Linked DNA regions of Lepisosteus oculatus. The protein of the gene in region 1 purifies or fractionates together with the protein of each later gene. This does not show direct contact. Links are inferred from orthologs where the notes say so. Each region holds a gene or a part of one and is shown on either strand. Other genes may lie near its edges.

Region 1 (7,326 bases):
TAACACTCACAACTAACAACTACAGCAAAGAGTGTTCAAAAGTTGTCATATGAGAAATTCATATAAGAAAAATGGACCCTGTGAGGGAATTCATCTCCGATTTTCCAATAAATCCAATCTTGTATGATCATTTTGACAAATAATGCCTCATTCTACCTTACAGAAGAACTGCATAGAAATATTTTCCACATTTATTTACACAGGACAAGAAAATCTAGAAGGAAACGAAAGTACTTAATCCATCATAGAAGGTGTTCCTAAACTCTAGGTCTTTGGGTCTAGAATTCATTAAGGTTTTTAGTCTCTTTAAATCATCAATAGTATAAGAGTCAAGGGGAAGAGTAACCCTTCTCCTAGATATATAGTTGTTTTAACTTAAAGAGACTGAGAATGCATGCTTGCTTGTGAACCTGTCAGGAACCTTGCAACAGTCTTTATGGATGCATATTCAGATACCTGTGGAGAAGGATATACCTGATCTCTCAGTTCCAGCTGTTTTCTCTGCAGCTCCAGAAACCTCTTTTCCCAAACAGCTTTTTCCTTTGAAATCTGTGATTTCAATAGCTGAATTTCACTCTCAGCTTTGGATAATCTCTTGCGAACCAAATTACTGCAGTCATGAAGGTTTGACGTCTCTTCTGAGACTTCAGTATCTAGAAGGAATGTTCAATAGAAAAAATGGTATAAGTGCACTTGGCACAGAGAAATGTGTTATTAGCAGACATCCCACAACCTCCAATAGGTATTTCAGTTTTTTTGCACTGAAGGGCCTCTGTTGTTTTACAGGCACTGATGTTTCCTACAATTTTGGGTTTTGTAAAGAATGCAGCACTCTGAAACACTACTCATTCAAGTTTAAAATCAAGATTAGTCATCTCAGACAAATTAATCTCCATTTTACAGAGCTCCAGTTCATGGTGAGCACCCTTTCAAATCACAAGCAAAGGTGGTGGTGTAAAGGTAAGATTTGTTTCTGAAAGGATAGATTGAAATATTGCGCTTTGAAGCATCTTGAAACATCAGAAAACTGTTTTCTGACATGTTATGCGCTCCCTCTGCTGGAAGTATGCGTGCATAACATCCTACGTCAAGATTACACTCGAGAGATAAAAACATTTTTATTTCGCGATTTAAAATTTCACCGTATTGTATTTTATAGTATTATTCTAGACTACATACTACAAAAAACATGGAACTTCTGCTGTAAGGTACATCCAGTAGAATAATCTGAGCAAAATAAACATCAACACAGCCTCAAATTAAAATGTTTCATTTCTGGCACCACTATTGAGGGTGTTCGTGGCGTAATGTAATAATAAAAGACTTGCACAACGTATTAACCTGAAATATTACTTTAATTAAAAACTTTTTATCTTCTCATCAGGAAAAAAAAATGATGAACCACAAACCTGTTTTTTCAAGCTTGGGGCTGTGAACTGTAAAATCTACAATCTTTCGCTTTTTACTGAGATAAGAAGACGTGATTGCTTGGAATGGGGTCACCTGGAATGAAAGACAGAAAAGTGAAAAACTTGGCCACAGTATGGAAACAACAGAAACGCCTAGTTATCCCTTCAAAGAGTTCCCAAGAAAACATTAGCCTATTCCGTTAAAATATTTAAATAAGAGTGATCGTGCTACACTTGGTACAAAAGAGATGGAACACATTTTACAAATATAGTACATCGAAAACTCTAAAATAAAACCTTTAGTCCTTTTAAATGGTTACATTTTAAGCAATTGAAGTCTAAAAAATTCCAACGAAATTAAAACTACATCAAGAATTCGTTATTGAAGTTTTTATTTTTCAGTCTTAAATGATAGGAGGTTGGCAAGACTTGCATATTCATTTATGTTAAAATTTATATAGAAATGCATGAATCTGCAAGTTCTACTATGTTTACTTTTCACATACTGTATAACAGTAAAGCTCATCAGTGAGCTCTGAATTCCAGATTATTTGTTTGCTTGCCCAACGATGTGAATGTGAAACCACAACGTTTGTTTAAATTACTATGGTTTTGTCATTCCTTTCTAGATATCATTTAGCACTGCATGTTATTTTAAAAAATGTAATAATAGTGTTACTGGGAAGTGCACAGCAATAAAACATAGGCTTTTGGCTATAATTACATCATGCAGTCCTGTCAGCTACAGACTAATAGCTCTCATCCTACATAACTACCATACTGTATATAGCTTTGCTTAATATCTGTCTTTATTCTTAAATAAAATCCCCATCAACACACCTGTATCTTGTTAAATGCAAACAGGCAATTAAATAAATACATAGGTTTTACTATCTTCACGTATGCTTTTATTTTGCTACTTTATAGTGTAGAGCCTGAAAGTTTTTTTACTTACCCACATAAATCTCCAGAAACATATCAGTCCTCTAAATGTCCAATCTAACATAGACCAGAACACACAGAAGACCATATTGAAGCCAGCTAGATCTGTGAACTATATACCCATTAGTGGAGCTATAAAGAAAAGGGATACAACAACAAACAGCTTCATCCAGTGGTGCAGAAATGTGGGTTAAGTCAGACACTATAAGCTTTTAGCCTGCATGTAATTACCATTTATTTTTTAGCAACAACTTTAAAAAGTCAACGCTTGAAAACATTATTTATTTTACCCAATAGAGGCTTTGCTTCAGCCATGTTGCAGTGGTTTAGTTAGAATCTGCGAGGGGACATATGAAACACAGTTTCTCAATGAGCATTTTAGCTCTCAAGGAAAATGAACATATCTAATTGATTTCTATACATTTACATATGACCAGCATATGCTGCCAGCAGCAGCCACTGAGGGCTCATGATTGAAGGACAGAGTAGCAGAACACATATAGTACAACTATTTTAGCCCTGCTGTCAGTTCTGCTAAATAATATCAGAAATCAGCATAGCCTAGTACATATTGCAGCTAATGCTACCTTTTAGTTCTGTGTCTTGGGAATCCTTAAAGCCTTTTCTAGAGAGATCCAATTGCTGCCATGTGGTGTGGAAGCCTTTTCTAGGTCAGAATGTAGTTACAGCCCAGGCGTGTTCCCTTGGCTATCGCCCTGTGTATAAATTCCCTGCTGTTGCTATGAGGGTTTGTTGACAGGTGAGAACCAATCCAGTTAATAAATCTAACCTAATCCTCTTAGCCATTGGTGCTGGACATCCAGTGGAACTCATACAAAAGTGAATTTGCCACTCTGCCCTAGTTAGCATGGTTTAAATCGTTCCTCTTTTGGTTATGTTTGAAAAGAAATGCCAGTTCTAGTTTTTCTAGACAAAACATAAAATAAGGTATTTGTTATTCTTGGAACACAGGACTAGTCCCAGAAATCACCCCCAGTGATTTTCAGATAATATACAAGATTTTATACAAAATCAAAACCTCACTGTTTACAGTGTTATTTAGATGCATATAAAACTGTTGCATACGAACATACTGTATTGCCAGGTTTTAAAAGGGCAAAGGTTTGAGTTGTTATTAGTTGACTAACAGTAATAAAGCAATAATAATTATACATTCTGCTTGCTTCCACCTTTCTCATCTATACGACACCCAAGGGTACAGTTATATTTCACAAAGAAGCAAAAAGATAGCACTGTAACTCTTGGTCTCTACTGTGAGGAACTTCCGTGGCGCATAATATTTAAATGTCATGCTCGTCCAGAACTTAAAAACCACAGTTGCTCACTAATCAACGTAACCAACTATTACTGAGAACCGAAATGATTTGGTATTGTAACGCTTACGGGTTCGTGCAGGACGAAATTAATCGGAGACGGACTAAACTCACTAACACCAATTTTTACTCTCCTTTACGTAAACAGACCACGGGATTTACGCACACATTACGGGACCAAGGGAACATGTACTCGGGTTTATGGTGGTAACTCTTTAACAGACTCTACACACTAACTTATAGGGCACTAAACTTCAGGGAACACTTAAACTAACACAGGTATATTTACATGAGTAGGGTCAGCTGCTGCTTACGGTTACGGACCCTCGGACTCCCCCGGCCTACAATTCCCAGCCTGCTTTGCGGTAGCCTCAACGCCGAGGTGCACTTCCTCCTCACCACCGGGCGATGTGTTTATTTGATATTGACAGTGTTTCGGATGAGTAAAATATAAAGTATTAAGTGCTGGTTTGAATATCTAAATTGAATTCATGAATTATTTTTTTCCTGTATTAACTTTTAAAATAGCGGTAATGATTTTGAGAAGTTACGACTTGACCAACACAAAAATGGACATGACGTCCCGGAATCTTTCGACTGCGTTTGTTGTTTCTCAGTTTGACACCGGACACTTTAGGGAGATGCTTTCCGGTAGTCTGTGATGTGGTGCGTGTTGCATTCGCCTCCGTCTGTGTGTTGTGACTGTACGGGAGTGAAGCGGGAAAGGCTACAACTTGTCTTTTGTATTTGTTTCTTGTTTCATTAAAACATGGAGACCATTTTGGAGCAGCAGCGGCGCTACCATGAGGAAAAAGAAAGGCTCATGGATGCCAAGACAAAAGAAATGCTACACAAAAAAACTACGGTAACTTGCGCAGCACCCGCCTTTGAGTTAGGCCCGTGTTTGTGGACCCGCAGATCCCGGCAAATTAGGGCAAACCTTTTTTTAGAAAAAAAGAAATCAGTAGGTCGGTTCTGTGTTGTTTATTTTAATGTTGCAGAACTCTTTCGTTGTTTCAAAATGTTTTACGTTCAAATAATATACTTGGTTTTAGACTGCATAAATAAATACTAGGTGCTTTAAGAGATTTCAGAGGCTGTTTTCAAGTTGTGGTGCACAGTTGTTTTCAGTGTTTTTATTCACAACCGCATACTTTAACTAATTACCTGGTTGAATGTAAAAAATGTAACCGCTTTCCTTGTTTTTAAGGTATTGGGTCTCTTCTACGCGTGTGAATACGTTTTTTAAACATTTTATTTTTGACCATATGAAGCAAACGATCTGCTTGCAGTTTTTGATTTTCCTTCACCGAGATTTGGAGCTGCTTGTGAACTTGAATAGATGAGCTGATTTTGCTTCACATGAGTTATATTCACGCTTTGTATTCTAGTGAAAAATTAGCAATCGGAAGTGGGATGCAGAAATAAAGTAGCTGGTGCCTTTTAACTTGCCCTTTCACCTATTTCTTTATTTAAATTATAGTCTTATTTGGAGGTGTAATTAAAAGTTCTTAGTATTATTACAAATTCTAGTTGTACTTTGGAGGATACAGTGACAGGTAACTTTCTGCTTCAAGCAACATAATTACCGTCCGTGATTTTGTCAACGGTGACGTTGGTCACACTCATATGTGTGCCGTATATGTATGGATTTTGGCAAACTATACATTCTGATTTGTCACAGAGCTGATTTTCTCTTTCTTGTTTAGTTAAGGGACCAGATAAACTCAGATCACCGGACAAGAGCAATGCTGGATGTGAGTAATGCGTTTATTTCCTATCTTAAGTCCTACAGCCACGTCGGATATTTGCTTGATTTGTGGTCCTTTTTTATTTCATGGGTAATTAAATAACATCCAGGAATTGGATGCTTGGAATGCTTGGTGAGACAAGCTTGGCTTAACCTGCTTGGTTAAACCCAGTTCAGACCAAGGGGCAGCTGCAAGGTGGAGACGGGTTTGAGTTGAGTATATGTAGCGAGTTACGTCATGATGATGGTGACTAGGTACAGCTCTGTGAGACTGACTTGTCACCCTTCCCGCACTTCAGTCAATAACTTCCACGTAATAAAATATAAGATTGTACCTCGTTAAGTATGTTTTAGAAAATACAACCGCATTTTAATTGCTTTTCCAGAGGTACATGGAAGTGAGTGCAAATCTGCGGGATTCCTATGAAGATAAAGATGGGTGAGTCTGTGGATCCAGCGGTTATTTCTGCTGGTATTGATATAAACACGTCATTGCAGAATGATTAAAAATGCTGCATGAACTCTTACTTCAGATGATCTGATTTTCGTTAACGAGTAGATTGCCAAACTAAATTGTTCTGCTGTGCTCTGAACAAATCACCAGAGAGTACCAGATTCTTCAGTTGCCTGTTGGTAGATTTGTCATACAAAGGAATTAAAACTAACTTGCTTTCACATATTGAGCAGGTAACATTTTAACTTTATATAACCATGACATTAGTAGATATTTACAAATGCATTTCTAAATATTTGGGTTTTTTTTTTTATTTGAATATAATGTTTCTTTCTGCATGCCTGTCCTCACAGAATGAGAAAGGAGGAGCTCAGTGCTATTTCGGGACCAAATGAATTTGCTGAATTCTACAACCGGTTGAAGCAGATAAAGGAATTTCACAGGAAACACCCCAATGAGGTGAACTTACACACAACAACAAGGCATTTACCTGAGATTGCAGTTTAATTGTGATCTAACGTTTCATATTAAACATGCTTTTCTGTTCCAGAACTGTTTATCCTTCTTTCTTAATCATGTTAATGTTTTTTGATCATTTAGATCTGTGTTCCCATGTCTGTTGAATTTGAAGAGCTAATGAAAGCCAGAGAAAACCCCAGTGAAGAAGCACAGAGTAAGACGAAAATCTTTTGAGATTAATCCAATTATGATTTGGAAGGAAAGCAAATCCTTTTTACATGAATGCATTATCTAACTCCTTTCACAGTAAATCTTTTCTTAGATCTCTTCCTAGTCTCTTTCTTTAGTTTATTTTGTGACCTTGTTGACTTTTTTCTAGTGGTATTTCTGCATTGTTAATCTCAGAGATGTAAACTTGATGAAGAAGGCAGAATTATGACTAAGAATAACAGTTATTTGGTGATGTTATCTTGAGTAACAAATATCTTTAGTTGTGTTCTAACCTATTGTTCGTAAGACACTCACTTCTTAATGTTTTGTAAATATTGTTAGATTTAGTTGAATTCACTGATGAGGAAGGATATGGGCGATATCTTGATCTTCATGATTGTTACCTGAAGTACATCAACCTGAAAGGAGCAGAGGTAAGATCTTGGATTTAGCTTTATTTTGTTTCACTTGTGCACTTGGATATCATTAACTGCTGGATAAGGAAATAAAAATGGGTATTTGATCAGGATTGTCCATTTGGGTACGAATAGATCATTGTTCCTACCAAGAATCTGCTTTATGCATGGATAACTTTCAAGAAGTGCTTTGTGTCTTAAATCGATTTTCATTTAGTTGTCTTTTGTATTGTCTGGGTTGCAGTACATTGTAAATCTGAAGACATTGTTGTCCTGACTTTGTCGGTACCTTTGAGAATTTTGAGATTAATGTCTTTCAATATCGCATTCCAACAATCTCAGGAATATACTC
Region 2 (7,785 bases), on another chromosome or scaffold:
TCACACTGTAAACTCAAGAGTCTTACTGACCCTGACGCACTGTGCGATTTGTTAAAAACGATAACAGAATTAACAGACAACTGCTTCAGCTTGCTAATCAAAAGATGAGACTGCAGGTTAACAAATGCAGAGCTGAAGTCAACAAACAGCTGTCGGGCAAAGGGATCGGGGGTCCTCTAGGTGTTTAAAACAATGTGTAATGCTGTTAATTTCATCAGCACTGCTCCATCAGCATTTATATACAAACCGCTCCCACTGAGTGTTCACATCTGAGCAGAGCACAGATACCGTCATTCTTTCAAACCAATTTATTACGATGGAGGTCAGTGCAACAGATGAACAACATCACATCCATCCATTTTCTAAACCACTTTATCCGAGACAGGATCTCAGGGAAACTGGAACCCACACCCGCAAACAACAGGCGCAAGGAGGGCTACACCCTGGGCAGGACGAAAATCATGCGAGAGGAAACAGTGCCGTGCCTGCCTAGTTTTACTCTGGTGCTTTTTTAACACCTGGGTCGTGCACTCCCGACAAATTCCTGCTTTCATCTGAGAACTTTTACAGTGAAAACCACAACTCCCTAATAAGGACCACAACTCCCTAATAAGGACCACAACCCCCCCACCACATGCGCAGCACAAGAAAAGCCACGCTTGCAAGCGAGCGCCGCGGACAGCGGGCCCTACCATGGGCTTGTCGTAGAAGGGGAAGCCCTGCATGGAGCGCAGGGCGTTGGAGGCGCTGTTGACTTCTTTGAAGATGACGAAGGCCTGGCCCCTCATCCTCAGCGAGCGCGACACCAGGATGTCCAGGATCTGGCCGAACTGCGAGAAGATGGCGTACAGGGACTTCTTCAGCTCTGCAAGAAAAGCAAGCCGCCTGAGAAAACCAGGCAGGCCAAGACCTCCCCTCCACACACTAGCGCCCGAGTGATGATCTTTACATCAGCTCCTGTTAATCACTGGAAACTCCTTGCATTCAGAAAAAAAAAACACATGAAAGATCACAAATGGGGGGTTACAAGACACAGCCCATTTAGTAGTCAGTAGCTAACTGATGACAGGACCTCATCTGGCGGTTTCCTGAGAATCCAGGGTATCATCAAACCACATGGCTGGGTAGCCTGTTACACACTCCCACCCCCCTGTTTGTAAAGGACAAAGCCATGATAAATCACAGGGAATTATTTTACTGTTACACACAAGAGCTGGTGCAACACTGGCCTCCCTCAGGCCCATCTGCGCCAGACATCACCCAGAGGCCCACTATCCAGCAGACCCAACCTCCCGTCACACGTCAACACTGCTGCAATCACACACGTCCCAGTCAGAAACACAACATCGACGCGGTTCTGATCCGGGGGCCATCCGCCCTGCTTGAACAAACGGGGCAGACGGGTGGAGAGCCCTCCTCACACGTCACCTCTCCCCTGCGACACGAGGGGTCTGCTGGGGGCACCTACCATCCTTCTTGATCTTCTCGTTGAGGTTGTTGATGTAGATGGTGTGGTTCGGGCGAAGCTCCTGCATAGCCATGGCCGCTGAGGACACTGGGAAAGAAAGAGCACAGCTCAGAACCCGGTCCCTTCTGCTACACAGCTGCACGAAACCAGAATCGTCACTTTTTGGATGAACAAGACGATTTCTGTGTACTATGTAATAATGAGAAGGAATCTTCGTCACATTTGTTTGTTAACTGCATATATACAAAACTGTTTTGGACAGATCTGCAAAATGTTATTGCTCAACATGTAAAGGCAAATGTTAAATCGAAAGATTTTGATATTATTTTATATTTCGTTAGAACTGGTTTGGAAAAAAGGATATGTTTTTATTATTAATGTTAATTATTTGGCAAAATATTTTATCCACACATGTAAATGCTCTAATACTGTTCCCTCTATTCATGCTTTTAAACTTGAATTCCTTTTTTATTTAAATCCTGTTAGAAATAAACTTACAAGAAAGACATACAATGGAAATATCTAATTTTTAGTGTTTACAATTGTGAATTCCTCTCGCTTTGAAGTGCGTATTTCTGTATATATTTCATTTATTCTGTCTCCTTTTTTTTTGTATTTCTGGTGTTCAAATAAAAACTTATTTAAAAACAAAAAAGCTGCACGAAACCAGGAGCTCAAGGAGGAACGGACTCCCTCCGATCCGGGCCAGATCTCCCCACGTCCCCCAGTCGCCCTAAACATGAACCGCTCTCACACAAACCCCCTCAAAGGGACAGCCTACTGGGACACTAAGAAATATGGGTTTTATTTTTTTTACCCTCGCCTCCATCTTCTGGCAAATTCAACTGCTCTCGATACCAAGGAGCAAAGATCGGGCATCGTTAACACGGGCTCAGAACCGAGCCCCCCCCGGGTCAACGGGTTTTAGCGGAGGGAAAGTCGCCCGACTCCCCCCCTCTCTTTCGGAACACGAAGGACACGGTTCAGGCTGTCCCGCTTCCAGATCATGAGCCCGGGGGTTTCACTCGGTGGATCACACCCCCAGCCCGGTTATTCCGGCAGTGAGGTATCCAAACAACAGGACCGCCAGCGCCCACCAGAACCGCCTCAATACACGCGCAAAAATTCAAATTTTACTGCGATTTTTTTTCATTATTTCGCAAAAAATCCCCTCAAAACGGCCGAACGCCTTTGGAGCTCTGGCGACGATTACGAAGTTAATAGTTTTGTACAAACAACCGCGAATCAGATCCGCCCAGCGAATGAACGGTTTCGGGATTACGCCCGAGTCGGGCTCCTTTATTTAATTAAATCACCGCCACGCTTCATAAAAACAAAAATACTCCCTGTTGTTCATCGCACGATCACCAAACTGACTAAAGAATATAAAATAATTACACGATGGCTCGTTTACAAAAGGATTTACTTACGGATTGTTTAAAATCGGCTCCCGGTTGCGGCCTACTCCCTCGACTCGCCTGGACTTCCTTGCGCTCGGGCGACCATGGAGACTAACTGCTAGCAGCTGCCCTGTAATTTGCCAGCTCCCTGCCAATCACTCCATAAACACCGCCTACCTGTTAACGTTCCTTAACGCGATTGGAGGCGAAAGCTAGAGCAGCTCTCGATTGGACACATGTACAGTATATCCCACCCACCCGGTCTCTGATTCTAGTTCTGATTGGACAATCTGTCCGACATGCTTCTTACACGCGCTTACGATGCCATTTTGGCGCTAAGAAGGAGTTGGTTTTGCCTTTCTTTTTAATCGCTGGGTAGAGCCAAAATGACGAATGATTATCTGCAGTTTCACAGAGGGCTTGATTCGCCTTGACTTGACGGTGTGTTACGCCGGGTGTCACAGTAAAAATATTCCCGACTTGGACCCGACGATTTCCATGGGTAAGTATTTGATAGCTCGTTAAGCCTAGAATTGATTAGACAGTAAATACAGTTCTGGCCGGTTTCTGCGTGTGTGAAGGAATGCATTTGATAAAAATGTTTCCAAGATAGCTGTAGTTGCGCGTTGATTTACCTTGGTAATTATAAAAGACGACGCATCCCGCGAAGTTTTTTTTTAAATAAAATTGCAAATACTTTTATGATTGGCCAGAAATAGCCAGTTTCACGAGTTCCACTGACGTTTAAAGGAAGGTGTGCTGATCGTGGCAGGTTTTTTTCATATACATTTTTGCAAATTCTGACTTAAACCTTTTTAATTATACAATGATTGTAAAACTCACCGTATTGCACACATCAAAATGGAAAACAATAGTTTTTTTTAATTGTTTTGTTTAAACCAGCTAAAAAGTGCAGCAATACAAAAGTTCCAACTTCATTTAACTAGCCAGTGATGGTACATTTGTTTATTGTCTATTTTTAATCCCTGCCCAAATCGGGGAGCCCCTCTGTCCCTGACGCGCTGCACGCGAGCTGCGTCCGGGCACGTGCTCCCTGGGACTGCACGAATAAACTTCTTCGCTTGCGAGTCTGTGAAGAATTTTATTTCCGCTCCGTATGTTTCATCCCAGCCGCTGGCTAGGGCTAGTGGTGGTCTTTTATAAGATTATTAAAGTGACCGTTCAATATGAGAAAAGGGTGACTGAAGTTGGCTTTAAGGTAAGGGTGCTGTACCTTAAACTTGATGAGGGTCAGAACCCTGGAGTCCTTTACAGAAGCACAGGGCACAAGGCGGGGCCACACCGTGAACAGGATGGGATAATTATCATTGTCGTTAATGACACTTATACTGCACTTTCCACCCCAGAGGAACATTTAGGTGCACTCACCTGCAGGACAGACAGTTGCCTCACTATTCACAGATGAGGCGGAGGAGAGAGAAACTGCTGAGAGGACATTAGGAGGAACTGCAGGGAGGCCAGGCTGGAGAGCAGCCCTGCGGACAGTGTCCTCTCTCTACTGACCGATCAGGCAGGACCTCAGGTGGACACGAGCACCTCTTCCCAAACAGGGTCCCCAGCTTTCATACTGGGGCACTGCCTTGGAGACACCTGTCCAGAGGGAATATCGCCACCTACTGGTCCACCAACACCACTGACAGCAGCAGCCTGGCTTCCCTTAGACGTCTCCCACCCCAATACTAGCCAGGCCAGCCCTTGCTCGCCTCGAGCCTGTATCTGGGGCCCCGCACTGCTCGTTCGCGTTTCGCGGCTGCAGACGGGCAGACATTTTGTGTATTTGCGTCGGCGTCCTTCACCGGTCCGGTCGCTCTTCACCACAGACCCCTGAAGGGAAATCACGGCCATGAGCACCCCGACTCTCGTGGCTCCGCCGCCCCCCCCTGCTCCCCCGCCGCCCCCCCCGGCCCCCGCCTGCCCAGGGAAGAAGAAGCTGTACCAGGCCATCGCCGCAGGAAAGGCCCCGGTCTCGGGAGACTACGAGGAGGCCCGGCTGCTTCTCCGGCAGAGACAGGACAGGTAGGAAGGGAGCAGTGCTGCCCGAATGACTGTGGCCAAACCCAGAGGCCCGAACTCACAACCCATTTTCTCAAACTGCGCGATTTCAAAGGATGAGAATTCGGAGGAGACTGAGACCTGTACAGATCTGAGCAAAACAGGAGTATGCGAAAGCCATCCCGTATTTCTGAGCTTGCTAGAGACACATGGGTATTGATAATGTAATAATAATAATATTTCTTCATTAGCCCTATATAGTTTCTTGCATTAGGAATTCATCTTTTCGCAGACCCCAGCTTGCTCTCCATGAGACACACAGACAGGGAGAGAAGCTGGGGGTCAGAGCGCAGGGTCAGCCATTGTACAGCGCTCCTGGAGCAGCTGGGGTGAAAGGCCTTGCTCAGGGGCCCAGCAGAGTAGGTTTCCTCTGTTGGCCACGGGATTTGAACCGGCAACCTTCCAGTCACAGGCGCAGATCCTGAGCCACAGAGCCACCGCTCCGCCCTAAACTTTAAATATTAAAGATAAAATAAATATTGGCCTGCAGCATTCCCTTCTCTTTCAGATGCAATTTCACTTGCGCTGGAGAATGTATTTTTTTTTACTGGATGTGCGGATTAGAAACGAGGATGTGTTCCTTCTGCAGTTTCCGGAGAGACCTGCAGTGGGTGCTGTTCAATAAGTATGTGCCATCGCTGATCCAGGATGGGCCACAGTGAGTATTCCTCGCCCCCGGCCTGGGTGGACATTTAGACATGAGTGTCTGGTCAGGGAGGTTTGGGTACGTTAAATATGCTGAATTATTTTGAGTTAGAAGAAAGAAATATTTAGCACTTGCACCACTCAGATCGTAGTCCGAATACCAGTGTGACAGAGGGGGGCGCTGTGCTGGTTGGCCGACTGCGATACTTTGCAGTCTGCGCTGGAGCAGAAGCAGTGTGTTAGTGACGAGGTGAGGTTTTGGGGGCGAACGTGCATTGGGGTGTCTCTTTCCGGGGTGACAGTGGGGGTTTGCCGCACAGGTGTGGGCTGGTGGCTCTGTGGATGGCCGGGCACCTCCTGCAGGGGCCCACACCCCTGCCTCTGGAGCAGATCGTGGCCCGAGCCCTGGGGAGAGGGTACACCGCCCAGGGAGAGATGTTCTCAGGTGAGCCGCCCCCTCGACTGACCCACAGTGTCCGTTCTCCCATTTCCTACCGTCCACTACTCTCGCAGCTGGACCGAAGGCTGTGAAAATGAGCAACTCTGATAGCGGAGGTGCGGTCCAACGGGGACACAACACTGTGCACGACACTGAGCAGACTCCCAACATGCGCGTCTGGTCTCGTGACCTTGTGTGATCTCCGAGGGGGGGCAGGTGCCCCCACAGACCGTGAAGATGCAAACGGAAGTGCCGTTGGGCACCAGGTGTCCAAAACGAAGACAACACATTTTTACAGTTTCAAATCGGGCAGTTAGAAAAACAGCTCAGAGCTGCTCCGTGGGTAAGGCTGTAGGGTCTTGTTCCCAGGGTACCTCCCTGGGCCCTCGGTGCCGCTCCTGTCACCCCCTGTCCTCTCCTCTCCCTCCCCCCAGCCCAGGCCATGGCCCTGCTGGCGGAGGAGCTGTACGGCGGAGCTGCGGAGCTGCTGAGCGGAGGCCTGAGGGGAGAGAATGAGATGCGCGTCATAGGGCACCTCGCCGCCGGCCAGCCCCTCCTCGTCCCGTATCCTTCGCTGGCAAGAGCCCCCCTCTGGGCACGACCACTGCCGCTGACGGCGCCCCGTAGCCCAACCGCATGTGGCCAAAGTGTGGGCACCTTGTAATGTCAGTCACCCCAGCCCAGTCATCGATCGGTGATCCCCTTTACACGTTGCCACAAAGATTCGACAGTAGTCAGGACGTAACTGACCCAGTGACCCAGCTCTGCAGCACCGCCTGAAGGATTCCTTGACTCCCACGTCTGGAAGCTACGATGAGGATTTCAACCACGAGCCGTGCCTGCGGAACGGGCACCGGGCGCACTGGGCCGTGGTCTCAGGTGAGAGAGCAGCCGCCGCGGGGCAGTGCGCCAGCCCCGAGCCCCCCCCGAAACCCCAGGAGTTCGCAGGCATTCTTGGGGTATTTAAATCAACGCTGGCTCCTTATAAATGTTAAAAATCGGACCCGTTAAAGTTGAGCTCGTTCTGAGGTGTAATGAGATGGAATAGAACCCCAGGCTCTGCAGTCCCCCAAGACTGGAGCTCTCAGGCCACTGCTGCAATCATAACAAGGTCACTCTGCTTTTCCAGCTGGTTCACTAAACCAGGAGTCTTCAGAGGGAACGTTGTTGCCTGTTGTAGAGGGAACGTTGTTGCCTGTTGTAGAGGCAACGAGCAAATCGCTCGTTTCCCAAGACCTGGTTCAGTTTAGCTGCGATAAGTGAAGCATGTGATCTGCTGCTGCAGTGATTCAGAGCTTCAGAGACTGTGTGGAACAAACGGCAGAAGACCCTTCCCTCTAACTGGCCCAGCTAGATGCTCAGTGTGAGCCAAGCGAAAGTGGACCTCGCGGGCAGGTGTACTGGGTAGGGGTAGATGTTGAGGAGGCTGTGGTGTGTGTTGGCAGGGGTCCTGCTGGGAGTGGCGAGAGGTACGGACACCGGGCAGCTCCAGCACGATCCCCAACTGCCCTGGCTGCTCCTGCCCCGGGCTAGTGGCGCCCCCTGGCTCCCCAGGCAGGGCGTGGAGGAGGTGCACCTGCTGGCCAAGCAAGGCAAGAGCCTGCGCTACCAGCTGTGGGCGCTGGAGAGGCTGCGGGACAGCAACGGGCAGCTGTGCCAGCTCGACCCCCAGCGGGCGCAGGACGGCACGCGGTACGTGCTGCCCCCCGGTGGGGTGGGCGCCGGGCTGGCGGGGCAGGTGGTGCTGCTGCACAGGAGAG

Evidence for each region. The genes of interacting proteins can lie anywhere in the genome.
Region 2: the proteins of sf3a3 (region 1) and snrpa fractionate together in Homo sapiens (co-fractionation; 4 studies listed by BioGRID and IntAct, with this or other methods). This does not show direct contact. The link is inferred for Lepisosteus oculatus from reciprocal best matches to the Homo sapiens genes SF3A3 and SNRPA.

What each region holds. Positions count from the first base shown.
Region 1 is NC_090706.1:5,553,467-5,560,792, forward strand, and holds the start of sf3a3 (splicing factor 3A subunit 3), read left to right. Parts: upstream 1-4,308; 5' UTR 4,309-4,454; coding exon 4,455-4,550; intron 4,551-5,394; coding exon 5,395-5,442; intron 5,443-5,821; coding exon 5,822-5,874; intron 5,875-6,242; coding exon 6,243-6,348; intron 6,349-6,489; coding exon 6,490-6,562; intron 6,563-6,900; coding exon 6,901-6,992; intron 6,993-7,326. Other genes in the region: centrosome-associated protein 350, read right to left, coding at 475-653, 1,410-1,503, 2,365-2,439. UniProt on the Homo sapiens protein: Component of the 17S U2 SnRNP complex of the spliceosome, a large ribonucleoprotein complex that removes introns from transcribed pre-mRNAs.
Region 2 is NC_090698.1:2,558,767-2,566,551, reverse strand, and holds the start of snrpa (U1 small nuclear ribonucleoprotein A), read right to left. Parts: upstream 3,009-7,785; 5' UTR 2,899-3,008; intron 1,556-2,898; 5' UTR 1,542-1,555; coding exon 1,469-1,541; intron 866-1,468; coding exon 693-865; intron 1-692. Other genes in the region: actmap (actin maturation protease), read left to right, coding at 4,733-4,905, 5,531-5,599, 5,907-6,031, 6,460-6,589, 6,834-6,904, 7,471-7,785. UniProt on the Homo sapiens protein: Component of the spliceosomal U1 snRNP, which is essential for recognition of the pre-mRNA 5' splice-site and the subsequent assembly of the spliceosome. U1 snRNP is the first snRNP to interact with pre-mRNA.